Elephas maximus indicus: one gene and its partner. The protein of the gene in region 1 interacts with the protein of each later gene in a biochemical or structural test. Links are inferred from orthologs where the notes say so. Each region holds a gene or a part of one and is shown on either strand. Other genes may lie near its edges.

Region 1 (7,003 bases):
AGTAGCACCTCCACACACCTCAACTGTGCCCCCGAGAGCATCGCCATGATCTGAGATCTGGGGAGGGTGGCTGGCCCAGCCCCCACGGCTTCCAACCCCACCTTCTTTGCATTTAATTTGTACCAAAAACGCTTTCAAGTATTACGTTGGGTTGCGGGCTTCCTCACTCCTGGAGTGGCCATCCCACATCCATCTGTGCCAGAGAGGAGCAGCCCTGCCGGCTGCCCAACTGCTGCTCTCCCACTGCGGATGGTTTGTGTTCTAAGATCACCTATCTTCACTCGCCCAGCCAGCCCTTCAGGTGCCTTCTACTCCCCAGTTCTGAAGCCAGACCACTGGGGTTCCCTGCTGCAGGAATTTGGGGCTGGGAAAGGTGAGAGGGATAGATAGCTGGTGGGGGGCAGGGGGGCTGTGCGTGGCTTAGTCTGGGAAGGCCCACTTCCGGGCCCACTGAGACACACCGGGATTCTTCACTCTGCCCCTCACTTCCTTTAGAGTGAATAACACAGCAGAACCATGTGGGTATTTTAGTACTTTTTTTATATCTATTAAAAGAATTCTAATTTGCATATGTATAGTCTGTTCTGGAGAATCAGAGAGGGCCTGATCCAGCAGGGCTTTCCTTAGACAAGACAGTGGACAGGAGGAAGCCCCACCCAGGGAGAGTCCTGAGTGCCCTCTGCTCTTTGAGCTCTTTGAGCAGGGCAGCCAGGTGCAAAAAAATTCCTCTCAAGGGCTTGCAGTCTGAAGAACTGACCTGGTCTGATAATCTTATTCACAGTTCCCTTCCCCATCTCGGAGTGTGGTTTGAACTTTGATTCTGGGGTGGAGGGTGGGGGAATGTGTTGAAGGAGCAGCCTTAAAATGTGAAAAGCTACACAAAGTTCCTGGGATTCCAAGGTTAACTAAAAATTGCCAGAGGGGAGGGGGTATAAGCTGGTTTTTCTTTACCAGCTTTTCAGTAGCTACTGGTGCCAGTTTCTGACCCATTTTTCCTTCCAACCATGAACACACAGGCCAAAGCCCTGGTTGGTCCAGTAGCCAGGTTCTTTACTGCCCTGAGTCCAGATGGGCCAGCAGGCTTGGGAGGGAGGGAAACAAAGCCTGGAGCCTCCTGTGGTTCAGGAACACCTTCCCCAGTAGCAGTAGGACTTGATGGGGCAGAGCACACTCCCAGGCCTGTGAGCAATGCAGCCGAAGGGTGGGTAAAGAGAGCTTTAATGAGGATTCAAGGTTCAAGAGGAAGACGTTGGGAGGGCTGGTGCTCAACCACAACTGCCTCATGTGTACATGGCTCCATGGAGGTTCTCGAGTCGGTGCTTCTGCTGCTCCTTTCGAGCCTGAGGGAAAGAGGGCACAATGGGCAGGGGCCATCCCTGAAGGCCTGTAAGTGAGGGAATAGGGCAACTGAAGGCCATTGGCATCTGCATTGCTGAAGTGCTCACCCTTCACCAAGGCCAGAGCCAGGGATTCTGAGGGCCTACACAGGCCTGCTGAGGTGTGGAAGGAGGCAGCCATGGGGGCAAAAGGAGTCTACTGGGACCCGCTCCACTTAGCACCAGCCCCTACCTTATCTCGTCTGTGCTCTTCATAAGTGTCGTCATCGGTGGGCAGCTCATGGCGGCAAAGGGGGCAGGAATTTGTCTGGGAAAAGCAGGGCAGTGTTCCAGCCTGGGTCTGGCCAAGATTCCTCCCCTGATCCCACTTACCACCCCACTCCTTTGGTCACCCAACAGTTCATAAACAGGACCTGAGAACCGGGCCCAGGGTGGAGTGAGGGCTGGGAGAGGGGAAGCAGTACCTTGCTTAGCCAGGGCAGAATGCAGTTGGAATGAAAGAGGTGATGGCAAGGCATCTCAATGGCCGTCTCCTCCTCCTCAAATTCCAAAAGACACACGGGGCACTTGAGGTCTTTGAGAGGGAGTGCTGATCAGGAGAGCTGCTGTGGGCCCCACCCCCAGCCCCCACTCCAGAAAGGCACACCTGGCCTGGGAAACTGAAGAAGCAGAGCAGTCAGCTCTGGGAGGGCCCCAACAGCTTAGGGAGTATGTCCTCACCAGCCTGAGACCCCCTGATGGCTGTCCTGGGGAGGCTCTCGACCACAGCCTTGGCAGCAGGTGGAGGCAGGTGGTGATCCCAATCTACTACCAACCCCAAGTCTTCAAAGTCCATCCTATTGAAAAGCGACCTGAGGAGGCAGAGGACGCTAGATCAAAACAAGAAAAGCATACTTCCTCCTTGCCCCATAATCCACTGGATATTCATTATAAATACCCTGCCCAGCTAGTAGTCGTCATAGCTACCCCATAGGAGGTGCACGGTGGAAAATGGTTTACAGCTGCGATTTTGTTCCCATTTTACACATGAGGCAACAGATTCAGAGAAGTTACTCAAGGCTACGCAGCAATGACCTGGTAGACCCAGACTCCAAGACTGCAGTGCCGGCTTCCGGGGTTCATGTTTCTAACAAGTACACCTACTCACATCCACCGGGCCCTACCCCGCCCCTCAAGACCCGCCTTCTCGGGTCCATCCTAGACCCGGCTGCCCTCTACTCCCACCGCGCCCCAGTCTTCCCCAGACAGAATCCCCTTGCCCAGGCCCGCCCTGCCGATCCAAATTATCCCGGATCTCGCCGCCCGGACGACACTCCAGATAATTTATCCCGTCCCTGCCCAGAACTGGCTGGCCCAGAGAATCCGCCTTCTCCAGGCAACCCTAGCCCAGAATCCTGTACCTGGGTCCTCACGCCCGAGCGCCGACCTCCCAGCCGTGCGCACCCACCTTGCGAGCTCCAGCAGCATGTTGGTTCGGGCCTCCTGCTCGGGATCCAAAGGCTCGCAGTCGTGCTCATCGAAATAGGATGCCATGACTGCCACGCTGACACAGCCCCCGGACCCCTGCTGGACGGCGACGTCTCGGCACCGGCCAATAAACTGGCGAGTTGAAAGAGAATGGCCAATCAGAGCATCCGGAGGGCGGACACAATGGCTTGTTAACGGAACAGACGGCGGAAGTATTAATTTGGCTGCCTCTTATTGGCTCGAGTAAGTCAGGTGACCAAAGACTAAAGCCGTTGGAGGGGCTGGGACTGACCAGAAAACTTCTGTTTTGGAGTCGGAATGAAGAGTAGATGTCTGCTTCTGGTCATGGCCGTAGCGCTTTGAAAAGCCAATTGTCTAGGCTGTAAGGGTCCTCAGTCAGCCCTGAGGCTCAGAGGACCCCGGCAATGCAGATGCTGGAGCCCTGACCCTAAGATTCAAATCTGCGATCTAGGTGAGAGCCAGGACTGCTGCCCTGCCCTCGCCCTCGCCCCCGCGCTGCGCTGCTTTCTGGATGGTTCAGGAGTTTACACTTGATTCCTCCCTCACCCCCCTAAAAACAAAAATTTCTTGCAGATTTCTTATGTGTTATTCACAACGGCTGCTAACCAAGGGGTCAGCAGTTCGAATCCGCCAGGTGCTCTTTGGAAACTCTACGGGACGGGACAGTTCTACTCTGTCCTATACGGTCGCTATGAGTCGGAATCGACTCGACGGCACTGGGTTTGGTTTTTGGTTTAGTCACATCGATAGAGGATGGGGCAAACCTCCTAACGGAGGGAGGGAAGATCCCTGCCGGGAGATCCCGGGCCTCATCTGCTCATTGGACTATTGGTGTGACGTTCATTCAGCCCTTTGCTCAACCTCTCCCCTAGACCCTAGCTTCTGCTTCCCAGTCTGTAAAACTAGCGGCTTGAATAGGCAAATGCCTAGTGACCAAAGTTTATTAGTGGTTACCAAGGACAGGTGGTAAGGAAAAATGGGGGGTAACGGTTAAGAGGTACAGAGTTTTTGTTAAAGTGATGACGAATTTGGAAGCGGATAGTGGTGATTGTTGCACAGCATGGCGAATGTAATGAACGACACTGAATTGTACATCTAAAAATGGCTGAAATGATGCTATATATATTTCACCACAATGAAAAAATAAAAATAGCACCTAGTGGCTTGAACTAAATAAGTGGTTTGCATCCCAGCTACACCTGAATCCTGGAGTAGGGGGAGAAAGGAGCTTTTGGGGGAAAATCCATGTCTGATACCTACCCCTTAAAGATTCTGATTTAACTGATCCAGGGTGCGATATGAGTCGGAATTGACTCGACAGCACTGGGACTGGGGTTTAGGCTGGTGCCCTGGTGGCGCAGTGGTTAAGAGCTCGGCTGCTAACCAAAAGGTCAGCAGGTCGAATCCACCAGCCGCTCTTTGGAAACCCTATGGGGCAGTTCTACTCTGTCCTACAGGGTGGCTATGAGTCAGAATCGGCTGCACAGCGCAGGTTTGATTTGGTTTCTGGCTTAGGGTGGGGCCTGTGTGCTGGTATTTTTACAAGTTCTGCAGGTGATTCTAACATGAGGCAGGGTTGAGAAGAGCTGCATTAAATGACTTGGATGATAGCATCTAGAGCTGTTACGTTGATGGATGCCTTTTTACACCTAGCATTAATAATCCTAAGAACAGTCCTAGGAGCAAAGTATCATCATCTCCTTTTTACATATGCAAAAACAAGTCTTGTCCAAATTCACACAGCCTGTAAGTGGAATGCTGACTAGCTACAGAGCCTCTTGCTTTTCTCCATCTTTCCCATAAAAACCAAAACTTAAAAAAAAAAAAAAAAATTGCCATCGATTCCACTCCTTATGTTACACAGTAGATGCTCCATGAGGTTTTCTTGGCTATAATCTTTACGGAAGTAGATCATCAATCTTTTCTTCCACAACACTGCTGGGTAGGTTTAAACCAAGGCTTCTTTTTTTTTTTTTTAGCTGGGGCAACATTTGCATTTCCATCCCAAATATACTGAATCACTATCTACACTTTAACAAGATCCCCAGGTGATTCTTACATACAACTTTGCAAATTCTCAGCAGGGGTTTGAACCAGAATGAAACTGTTTGAAGCCCTGGTTTAAATCACCAACCTTTAGGTTAATAGTACAGTGCAAACTGTTTGCATCACCCAGGGACCTCCTTTCCCATAAAAGGAAAGAGTAAGGAGCCCAGTGAAAGTAACAAAGATCTGTAAGGAGTAAAAAAAAAAAAAAAATTTTTTTTTTAAAAAAAAAAAGAGTAAAGCTTCAGACAACTCCTAGAGGTTGTCATTTTTTTCTGTCAGAAGCCTCATTCTATCTAGAAAAAACTGCTTGTGTTACACACATGACCTGGAATTCCCCTCCTCATCCACAATTATGAGCTGAAGTTAAGCAGCCCAGGCAGAGACTGCCTGTTCCCACAATCCTAGTGGGGCCTCTTTCCTTCTTCCATGGCTTATTGTACCCAGTGATCCTTGTGTGACCCCTGGAGCTTTGAAAAGCTTGACTTCTTTCCTACAAGGCAAACTCCAGGTTACCCTTTGTGACCCTGCATTAAAGGACCTTAGAAGCCCTTCCTGTTTTCACTGCCAACTGCCTCATGGGTAATTTGGTAGAATCTTGAGGAAGAAGATGGGTGGAGAAACTGGGGAGGGGGAAGGTGTTCACAGGGCAAAAAGTGAATATGAATGTGAGAGAGGGCCTCATGCTGTTAAAATCCTTAAAGTATTTTCTTTTTTGTCACCCCATCTGGAGTCGCATTGGTCTTCTGAGCATTCTCAAGATGCCAGAAAAAAATAGATTCCATTCTCAGGGAAACAGGAGGACTGGTTCCAGGGTCTGGTCTGGGGTTGCTGTGTGCTGTGTACCTGAAGCCCAGAAAGGCGTGTCTGTGTAGTGTCTGACAAAGGAGAAAAGGGAGAGGAAAAAGCCACCTCCCAGGGTGGAGACCTAGCAGTGGTGGAATTTGTAAGCAGCCCCAGGGGTGGGGCAGGGTGCGGATGAACCACCCGAGGACCCTCAGAGACACACACAAACCAGCTTTTAGGCAAACAGCAGCTTTTATTGAGATCCAGGCAGGGCTGGCCTGGCACGGCCAGTGCAGCAGGCTGCTCTCAAGAGCCAGTCTGTGGCGTGATGGGAGGCGTGGAGGTGCACACATGGGGACTGTCCTCTGAAGATCACTGGGGTGGCTCAGATGGGAATGAACACCAGGGTTCTCAGGAGACCGGAACTGGCTAGTGTGGCTGTTCAGCCTGTCCCAAAGGCCCAGCCAGGTCAGTCCCCCGGCCCTGAGGCTGTGCCCGCGCCCTGGGCCTGTGGGGCACTGCTGCCTTGACTATTCTGGGGGAGAAAAATGGCCAACAGCACAATCAGGATGACAAGCAGGCTGCCACCCACCGCCAACCCCAGGTAAATTCGGCAACGGACGTTCTCCCAGCGCTTCTTCTGGGCCAGGGTCTTGGTCGTCTTGCTGAAGGCAGAGCTCTGTGGAGACCCCAGACACGGTGGGAGTGAGTGGTTCCCCCAGAGACAGAGCCAGCTCCCCCCAAGCCCACCCCCGGCCCCAGCAAGGCCTAGTCTCCTGCATGCTCCTCAACATGTCTTCTCCCTCCCTCCACACAGCCTGCCAGGGCCTCCCAGCCTGACTTCCTGACACAGTGTAGCCCTTGACTTGCAGCCCCACTGGCTCACCTCCAGTTAGCAGTGCCAGTCCTCGACCTTTAGGAAGGCACACAGCTGTAAGCTAAGGACTTTTAACTTCCTGGGGTCTACCCATCACATGCAGGAAACCCCACACTGACCCTCAAGCAGACCTCAGACCCCCCCTCCCAAAGGCCTAGAGACTCAGTACACAGCCTGAGAGCTCCACTGAACGGCTCCTCCAAGCCTGCCCCTCTCCCCTGTCTGCCTCCCCAGGCCTCGCACCATGTCCAGCAGTTGGTCGGAACGCTGCTCCAGTTCTGCCAGCTTCCCATCACGCTCCAGGACCTTGCCGAAGTTGTTGAGCATGATTTCCGTCACCTCATCAGCCTGCCGCTGGCATCGCTCCAACTCTTTCCCTGCCTGGGCACCAAGCCCAAGGTCAGGGCAGCATAGGGCCCCCATATGGCCCTTACCTGGCCCCAAGACCTAGGTGCTCCTCACTGTCACT
Region 2 (7,489 bases), on another chromosome or scaffold:
TGCTGGGCAAAGGAGGTTCTTGATTGTCCCCTACCTGTTAAGTGCTCATCATCTGACTCAGAAGCATTATTTTTTGGATGACTAGCATTAGAAAAAATGAAATGGTCTGTTTCAAGTGACAGGACTCATTTTTCTTTGTTTTCAGCCCATGTAAATATTTAAATAATACAGTATTAACATTTCCGTGCTGCTTCCCTTCAGCTTGTAGATCGAGCCATGTTCTGGCCTCTCTGCCTTCCTGGAGGCAGTTTTCTTTAACTTCCAGAATAGTGGTTTTAAAACTTAAAAAAAAGAAGGAAAAACAAAATGACCTTACTTACAAGCGTAACAGACTGTATTTAACTTTATCACATATGATAGAGATATATATGCTGTAAAATGAGGGAAAGAACTTTCTAATAAACCAATGATTTGTGGAAACTTAGCAGAGTCTGTCGTGATCGTTCCCTGTTCACTCAAGTTGGGAAAAGATGGAGTTGTGGATTGTAAGTAACATCCTGTTTAAAGTGACCAAGCAGTAGACTCTTGTGAACCAGTTGTTTGTGATATTTGAAACTGTGCCTCTCAAAGCTTGGACTGCCCACTTCAAAGGCAAAAGATGGCTGTGGGCAGAAGTAATAGGAGTTGTGTTTCTCTCAGTGTTAGGTAAGTGTCTCTTTCTGCTCCCTCTTTCCCCGTAAGAACTTCTGTTTCTTCCCTTTTTCTTAAATATATAATCTATGTATGGCATGTAGGTGCTCATTAAATGGATTTGGAATTTCTGGCTTTGATTTTTAGGATTTTGGATGGACTTAAGGCCAGTGGGATTACAAGATTGATCTACCTAGTCTTTGCCCTCCAGGTGGAGTTCTGTATACCAGGCTTGGCTTCCTCTCCTCAGCCCTTTAATGTCACTGCAGTCAATACTTGAGAGCCTCTGCTTAGTATAAGGAAATACATCCCAACTGTTACTGAGCCGATAAAAGCTCCTACTTTTCTGTATCAAAAATCACAAGAGGCAGGGAAGTTTAGCGTGGAAAACTAACCACAGATTTGTCGTAATAGTTTCCCCTCTCCTTAACCTTTCAGGAAAGAAGACTGGTGTTCATTTCTTTCCTAGTGTCTTTGATAAAGCTATGCTCTGTCCACCAAGGAGAAGCTCTTAAAACCCTGGGTTGGGTGCTCAGATCTGACTGTTTCCTAAAATGGCAAAGATCCCTGCCCAGAAGGAATGGATGTTAGAAAATATAAAAAGTGAGTTTCTGAGAGCGGGCAAGCGTCCTTGTTCTGATAAGGGTTCCACTTCCCTCCCAGCCACCTGAGCTTGAATCGTGAAATTACTCCATCTTCTGTACCCCCCATGACTAATTCAGGCGTAGTCAACCACTTCCGTTCTTATTTGCAAGAGATACTCTTATTAACTCATGTTGGAATTACTGCAGCATCTTCCGGGCTGGCCTCCCTGACTCTAGGAACTAATAGCCTGCCCCATGTAAGTTTACTCGCTTTTTAGAATCTGAGTTCAATTAATTTTGTATTCACTGCTTCTGGTAAAATTGTAAACTCTGAGAGGACAGAAACTGATTGTTACACTTCCTTTTTCTTATCCCTTAGGATGTCTTACGTAGAATTGAGCACATGTAAACATTTTGATTGTATGTTCAAGAAGACAGGAGTAAAGTAAGATACCACAAACCATGGATCATGCACGAGGATTCAGTAAGGGAACATTTGAAGATAAGAGATTTTTCTCGAGCCTCCACATCACCTGGCTCAGAGCCAGGCACATAGAAGCTCAGTAATTTGTTGACTAAAATAAAACCTTAGTAGAATTCAAATTCAGTGAGGGATTCTTGGACTCAGTCTGATGGGATGAGAAAGTGGGACCAACGTGTCAGCACTTCTCTGCCAACTATCAGAAGGGAGATCAACCCAGCTCTGACTCCATAAAAATACCCGTAAGAACTAAACAACTCTCCCTACCCAAATCTGATCACCGTCTGTATTTTCAACTCTAGTTAATGATGCCACTGTCTGGCCAGACACCAAAGCTAGTAGCTACCTTGGATCCCTCCCTACACATCCAGTTACTGATTCTGTCATCACTTTTGTTCCTGCCATTAGTACTCGGGCTCAGACCTCATCACCTTTAACCCAGAGGATTGCAGTCACTGTCCATCTGGTCTTCCCACTAAATCCTTTTCTTGCCATAGGCAGCCAGTTTAATCTTCCAGATCAAAGCACAATTGATCAATGTATCCCATCCCCTGGCTTTAAAAATCTTAGTGATTTTCCATCTCGTATGGGTTAAAGTTCATTTTCCTTAATATGGCATTGAAGAACCTCCAGTGGTTTGATCCCAGCTTTCCGTCTCACCCTCGTGCAAATTCACCCCTTTGAGCACCCTATGCTGAGTTAACTAGTACTTGCTTTTCCCTATAAGTGGCTTTTGTTGTTCTGCTGTTCTTTTATGTTATTCCTCTGCGTAGAAACTCCTTCATTCTCAGACAAAAGGCAACGTAGTATAATGGTTAAGAACATGGACTCAAGTGCAAACTTGTGTTTGAATCCTAGTTAGTGGCACCTATTAGCTGTGTAACTTGGGCAATTTACCTAAAACTATGCACAGTTACGTGTGTTCATGTCTTAACTCCCTCTGCACTAAGTTTTTTAAGGATCTTTGATAATGATCTCTGTATCACTCAGTGCCTTGAACAGAACAAGTACTTATTGAAAGTTGTAGTGGACTATGAATTAATAAGGAGCTCTGGTAGCACAATGTTCAAGCTCTCTACTGCTAACCAAAATGTTGGCAGCTCAAACCCACCAGCCGCTCTGCAGGAAAAAAGACCTGGCAATCTGCTCCCATAAAAATTACAGTCTATGAGGCAGTTCTACTCTGTCCTATAGGTTCACTATGAGTCAGAATTGACTAGACCACACACAACAGCAACGTGAGTTAATAGCAGCTCAGTTGAGGACAGTTGGGAGGGTGAGTAGAGGACTGGGTTAAGGATTCATTCTAACAAATGTATTGCAGGCCTGCCAGGAGCTTGGCACTGGAAGTCAGCAGTGAAGAAAGCCCAGATTAAAGTTGAAGGAGCGTTTAACCTAGCTAGGGATAGGATTTTGAGCTGTGTGCTGAGATGGTGAAGTATGAGGGGAGCTGAAAGGATTCCAGAATGGCACAGGGTAGTTGGGCAGTTTGATCAGAAGGCAAGTATGGATGAAGAGAAGAATGTGGCTATGTTGCCTTTACATCTAGACTTCTTGAATCTCCTTGAGAACAGCTTTTTTGGGAAGGCATGCAGTGCCAGTTAGACTTAGCACTCCTGTCCTCTTCCCCGTATCCACAGAAGATGACCTTGCCTTTTTGCTCAAAACTCTTTCTTCTTTTCCCACTGTGTGACCCTGTGTTTGCATCTTTATCTTTTTGTGCATATTTCTGCTCAGTCTTTCTTTTAGTCATGCATACTACATATTAGGCCCTGGGACTGCAGAAAGGAACCATGCTTTGAATTCACAGACAAAATCCAGTGAACAGACCATGATTATATAGTGTGGTCAGTGTTAGCTCTGGGTGCCAGCCCGAGGAGTTGGAGGAAACTTCCCCCAGGCGATGATCCCAGCAAAATCAAGTCTTAATGGTTAGACAAGAACTTTGTCACCCAAAAAGGAGCGAGAGCCTGCCTTCAACTGAATAGCTTGTACATAATCTCAGAGCCTGTGAACCAGAATGCCCTGGAATAATTTCAAATTGTACCCATTTCCTTGTCCCTTAGGCCAAGGTCCATTCACTGTCCCCCCTCCCAACACTGGCTGCACTGCTCTGGCAGCACTGAGACTTGGCCCAACATGGACAAGGAGTGAGGAAGCTGCTGCCTCAGTATGGCTGGCTGAGGCTGTCCAAAGCCCTAGAAGGAAGAAGTGATTAAGTACCTTATCCAAAAGGATACAGCAGCCTGAGGTCTTATCAGGAGGCAGCAGCTTCCTTCTTCCCCCACTTTTGGCCAAGTCAATGCGCCATAGCAGCGCAGCCAGCTTGCGGGGGGTGGGGGGCAGGGCGAGGCCAGGCGGGAAGGTTGTAGAACTGTGGGCTATAGTGGAGGCGTACAGACCAGTTAATTCATGATTGTACTATCCCAATAAAAAGTAATGGTGACTTGCACTAGAGTGGTGGTAGTGGAGATGGAGAGAAGATTCAAGAGAAATAATTGAGAGGTAGAACCACCAGGAGTTGGTGATAAACTGTTCCCAGGGAAAGAGAGGAGTCATTCCTCTCAGCCCTAAGCCTCACCCCTTTCCTGGCAATCCTGGAGAACACATGGATGTGTGCAGGGGCTGTATAGCCCTTTGCTCTATCCACTGCTCAGCAAGTTGCTTTGGGCCCCAGCTTGATAAGAAATGACTTCCTGTGGTGGAAACTGAAGGAAAGAGGAAGAAGCTGGCCCATTTCTGCCTAGGAGATTGTGGGAGAAGGAAGATGGCCAGAGCTTTGTGTCCACTGCATGCCCTCTGGCTCCTGGGGTGGGCACAGCTGCTCTTAGGACCCGATGGTACCCCTCCAACCTGGGCCTTGAACCTGGACCTGATGCGGCTCACTGTCTACACAGGCCCCAATGGTAGCCACTTTGGGTTTTCACTGGACTTCTACAAGGACAGCAAAGGAAGGTGAGCCTTGTGGGAAGTTTGGGGGTTGGGAGAGAGAAGGAACCCCAACCTGTCACTGCTTCTGTGAGCCCATTTCTGATGGAGGTTGAGCAAGACGATTTATAGGGTCTATAGGGTCTCTATGGTCGGAACCCACTGAACAGCACTGGGTTTTGGTTTGTGGCTCAGGCTGAAGTCTGGTTAGAAATAGTGGGCAGGGACCAGCTCAGGTGAGAGTGTCAGGGAGAGGACACCAGGGAGGAGATAGGCACTAAAACTACAGCAAGAACAAAGGGAAGACAAAAGTTGATTTATTTTTTTTCTCAAGGGTCAGTTGTAAGACCCACTCCACTTTCCTCCCCTCAAAATACAGAGAGGTGCACGTCTTAAGTTGACTTGCAAAACTGTAAAATAGTCTGCTCCCACCTTGCAATTCTACTCCATTTCCCTTACCAAATATGCATATTTGAAAAGAAGCAATAGAGCATTAATGGTTGGGATTGATTAGGCCATGAAATCAGACTGCCGAATTCCCCCCTATTAATAGCTGTGTTACCCTAAGCTACCTAGGTAGTGTGGTGGACACTGTGATGTCCAGCTTCAGGAAGTAGCAAGGGCAGACAGGCTTCAAATGTCAGCCCTTTGTGAGATTTCCTCTGCTGAAAAGAACCACCTTGCCCAAAGTCAAAACCTTTCCCAAGGTGGCCCACTTCCACTGACTGACAACTCGTGTGTGTGTGTGTGTGTGTGTGTGTGTGTGTGTGTGAGATAAGGGTCTGACTGTGATAATTTTGAAGGGTCTTTCTAGCTCCACGGCATGGAGGGGAGGGAAGGAGAGTTGGCCCAAGTCTTTCTTTGGACCTGCGTATGAGTTCCACTTCTGCCCACTCCTTTCACCTCCTTTCTACAGGTATTGGTTTCATGGGTACTTCGGAAAAAAAAACCCTGAATGCGTTTTAAAAAAAAAAAAAGCATTTTGTATATTGAGCATTACTATGTATTTGGTTGGTACCATGCCAAATGTCCCTCACACATTTACTCCTCATGACAACAGTGATTGGCTGGTATTGTCCTCATTTTACATAGGAAAGGTTAAATGACTTTGGACAAAGACAGTAAATGGCAGAGCTGTGATTTGAACCTAGATCTGCTAGGGTTCTCAGCTCTATCAGCAACCTTCCCCCACCCCCGCCCCCCACCCCCAGGCGCCCTCTGGCTTTCTTCATTCTTCACCATTAAAATCAATTCTCAGAAAGGGATCTGGTAAGGAATAGTCTTCAAACGAACATTGTAGGGAGCATCTGAACCCCTGGCTTTTGGTGGGACGGAAAGGGAGAGGGGATGGAGGTAGTGTGCAGAGCTTGGGAGGTCTTTTTCATGAGGAATAGCAAAACCCTCGTGTCCAAATCAAACCAAATGGTTATAGTGCCAGCTTTAACCTCAGTTCGCTGTATTGCTTTAGGAAAGTGATTTCCTCCCAGAGTCAGTTTCACTGTCCATAAGGTGAAGATGCTGGCCTCGACGGTCTGTGAGGTCTTGTTGAGGAAAGCTGGTCCAGGCCCCCACGGCACACCGTCCTCTGGGCAGTGCTTCCAGCGTGGGCACTGGGCATGGGCCACGCGGGAATGCGTGCAGCGCTCACCCAGCTCTCCTTCGCAGCGTGGCCATCGTGGTGGGCGCCCCTCGGGCCTTGGGTCCTAGACGAGAGGAAACTGGCGGTGTGTTCCTGTGCCCCTGGAAGGCCGAGGGTGGCCAGTGCACCTCGCTGTCCTTCCACCTCAGTGAGTCCGGAGCCAGGAGGGACGGAGGAGGGGCCAGAGGGGGCGTGGACAGCCGGGCTTCAGCGCCCCCACACCTTCTTCTGTTCTCCAGCGGATGACAACCAAAACGTAGGCTACCAAACCCTCCAAACCTTCAAGGCCGGGCAAGGACTGGGCGCGTCGGTCGTCAGCTGGAGAGACAACGTTGTGGTGTGGCCGCGGGATAGGGGATAGGGAGCAGGCGGGGCCGGGGATACGTCTGGTGGGAGGAGTGAGGTGGGGCCTCAGTCCCAGCCCCGCGCCCTTCCTTACTCCTCTGTGGCCCTGCCCCAGGCCTGTGCTCCCTGGCAGCATTGGAATGTGCTAGAAAAGACCGAGGAGGCCGAGAAGACGCCTGTAGGTAGCTGCTGGGTGGCTCATCTCCAGAGCGGCAGCCGGGCGGAGTACTCGCCCTGCCGGGCCCGCACCATGAGCAAGATTTACGAACAAAATCGTTTTAGTAAGCTCCGCCCCTGCTTTGGCCCCGCCCACTAGCTGCCCAGCGCTCTAACAAAATCGGGTCGCTTTGAGTCGGAATCGACCCGACGGTTTTTTTTCTTTAGTCTAGTCCCTCCCCCAGCGCGCCAAAACTCTGCTTTCAGTCTGGTTTTGCCCTTTCAAGGTCACGCCTCTATATTACTCCTGGCCCCGCCCCATGGCCCCGCCCCCGCCGGGCCCAGGCTCGGATCCACGCTTCTCGATCCGCCCCTTCACTGACCCCACCTCCTTGCGCCCTCTAGTGCTGGACAGACGCTACTGCGAAGTGGGCTTCAGCTCAGTGGTCACCCAGGCGAGTACCGAGCGTGAGAGGCGTGGGGGCGGCCCAGGAACAGGGCACCCTCTCACCTCCAGGGCTTCCCTTTTAGGCTGGGGAGCTGGTGCTTGGGGCCCCCGGTGGCTATTATTTCTTAGGTATGTCCCTCATCCCATCTGTACATCTCCCGCCTTTCTCCCAGCTTCCCCACCTAAGGGAGACCCCAGACATCTGGGCCCCCACACCCTCCCCCTCCGTCTTAGGGCTCCTGGTCCGGGCTCCAGTCGCCAATATCGTCTCGAGTTAC

The links. The genes of interacting proteins can lie anywhere in the genome.
Region 2: the proteins of RNF181 (region 1) and ITGA2B form a complex in vitro, tested with the Homo sapiens proteins (2 studies listed by BioGRID). The link is inferred for Elephas maximus indicus from reciprocal best matches to the Homo sapiens genes RNF181 and ITGA2B.

What each region holds. Positions count from the first base shown.
Region 1 is NC_064835.1:49,004,628-49,011,630, forward strand, and holds RNF181 (E3 ubiquitin-protein ligase RNF181), read right to left. Parts: upstream 2,899-7,003; 5' UTR 2,871-2,898; coding exon 2,785-2,870; intron 2,189-2,784; coding exon 2,058-2,188; intron 1,912-2,057; coding exon 1,802-1,911; intron 1,645-1,801; coding exon 1,570-1,644; intron 1,341-1,569; coding exon 1,281-1,340; 3' UTR 576-1,280; downstream 1-575. Other genes in the region: TMEM150A (transmembrane protein 150A), read left to right, coding at 1-54; VAMP5 (vesicle-associated membrane protein 5), read right to left, coding at 6,127-6,336, 6,778-6,915.
Region 2 is NC_064837.1:50,889,979-50,897,467, reverse strand, and holds the start of ITGA2B (integrin alpha-IIb), read left to right. Parts: upstream 1-4,452; 5' UTR 4,453-4,462; coding exon 4,463-4,650; intron 4,651-6,288; coding exon 6,289-6,410; intron 6,411-6,501; coding exon 6,502-6,599; intron 6,600-6,722; coding exon 6,723-6,888; intron 6,889-7,168; coding exon 7,169-7,218; intron 7,219-7,294; coding exon 7,295-7,340; intron 7,341-7,445; coding exon 7,446-7,489. UniProt on the Homo sapiens protein: Integrin alpha-IIb/beta-3 is a receptor for fibronectin, fibrinogen, plasminogen, prothrombin, thrombospondin and vitronectin. It recognizes the sequence R-G-D in a wide array of ligands.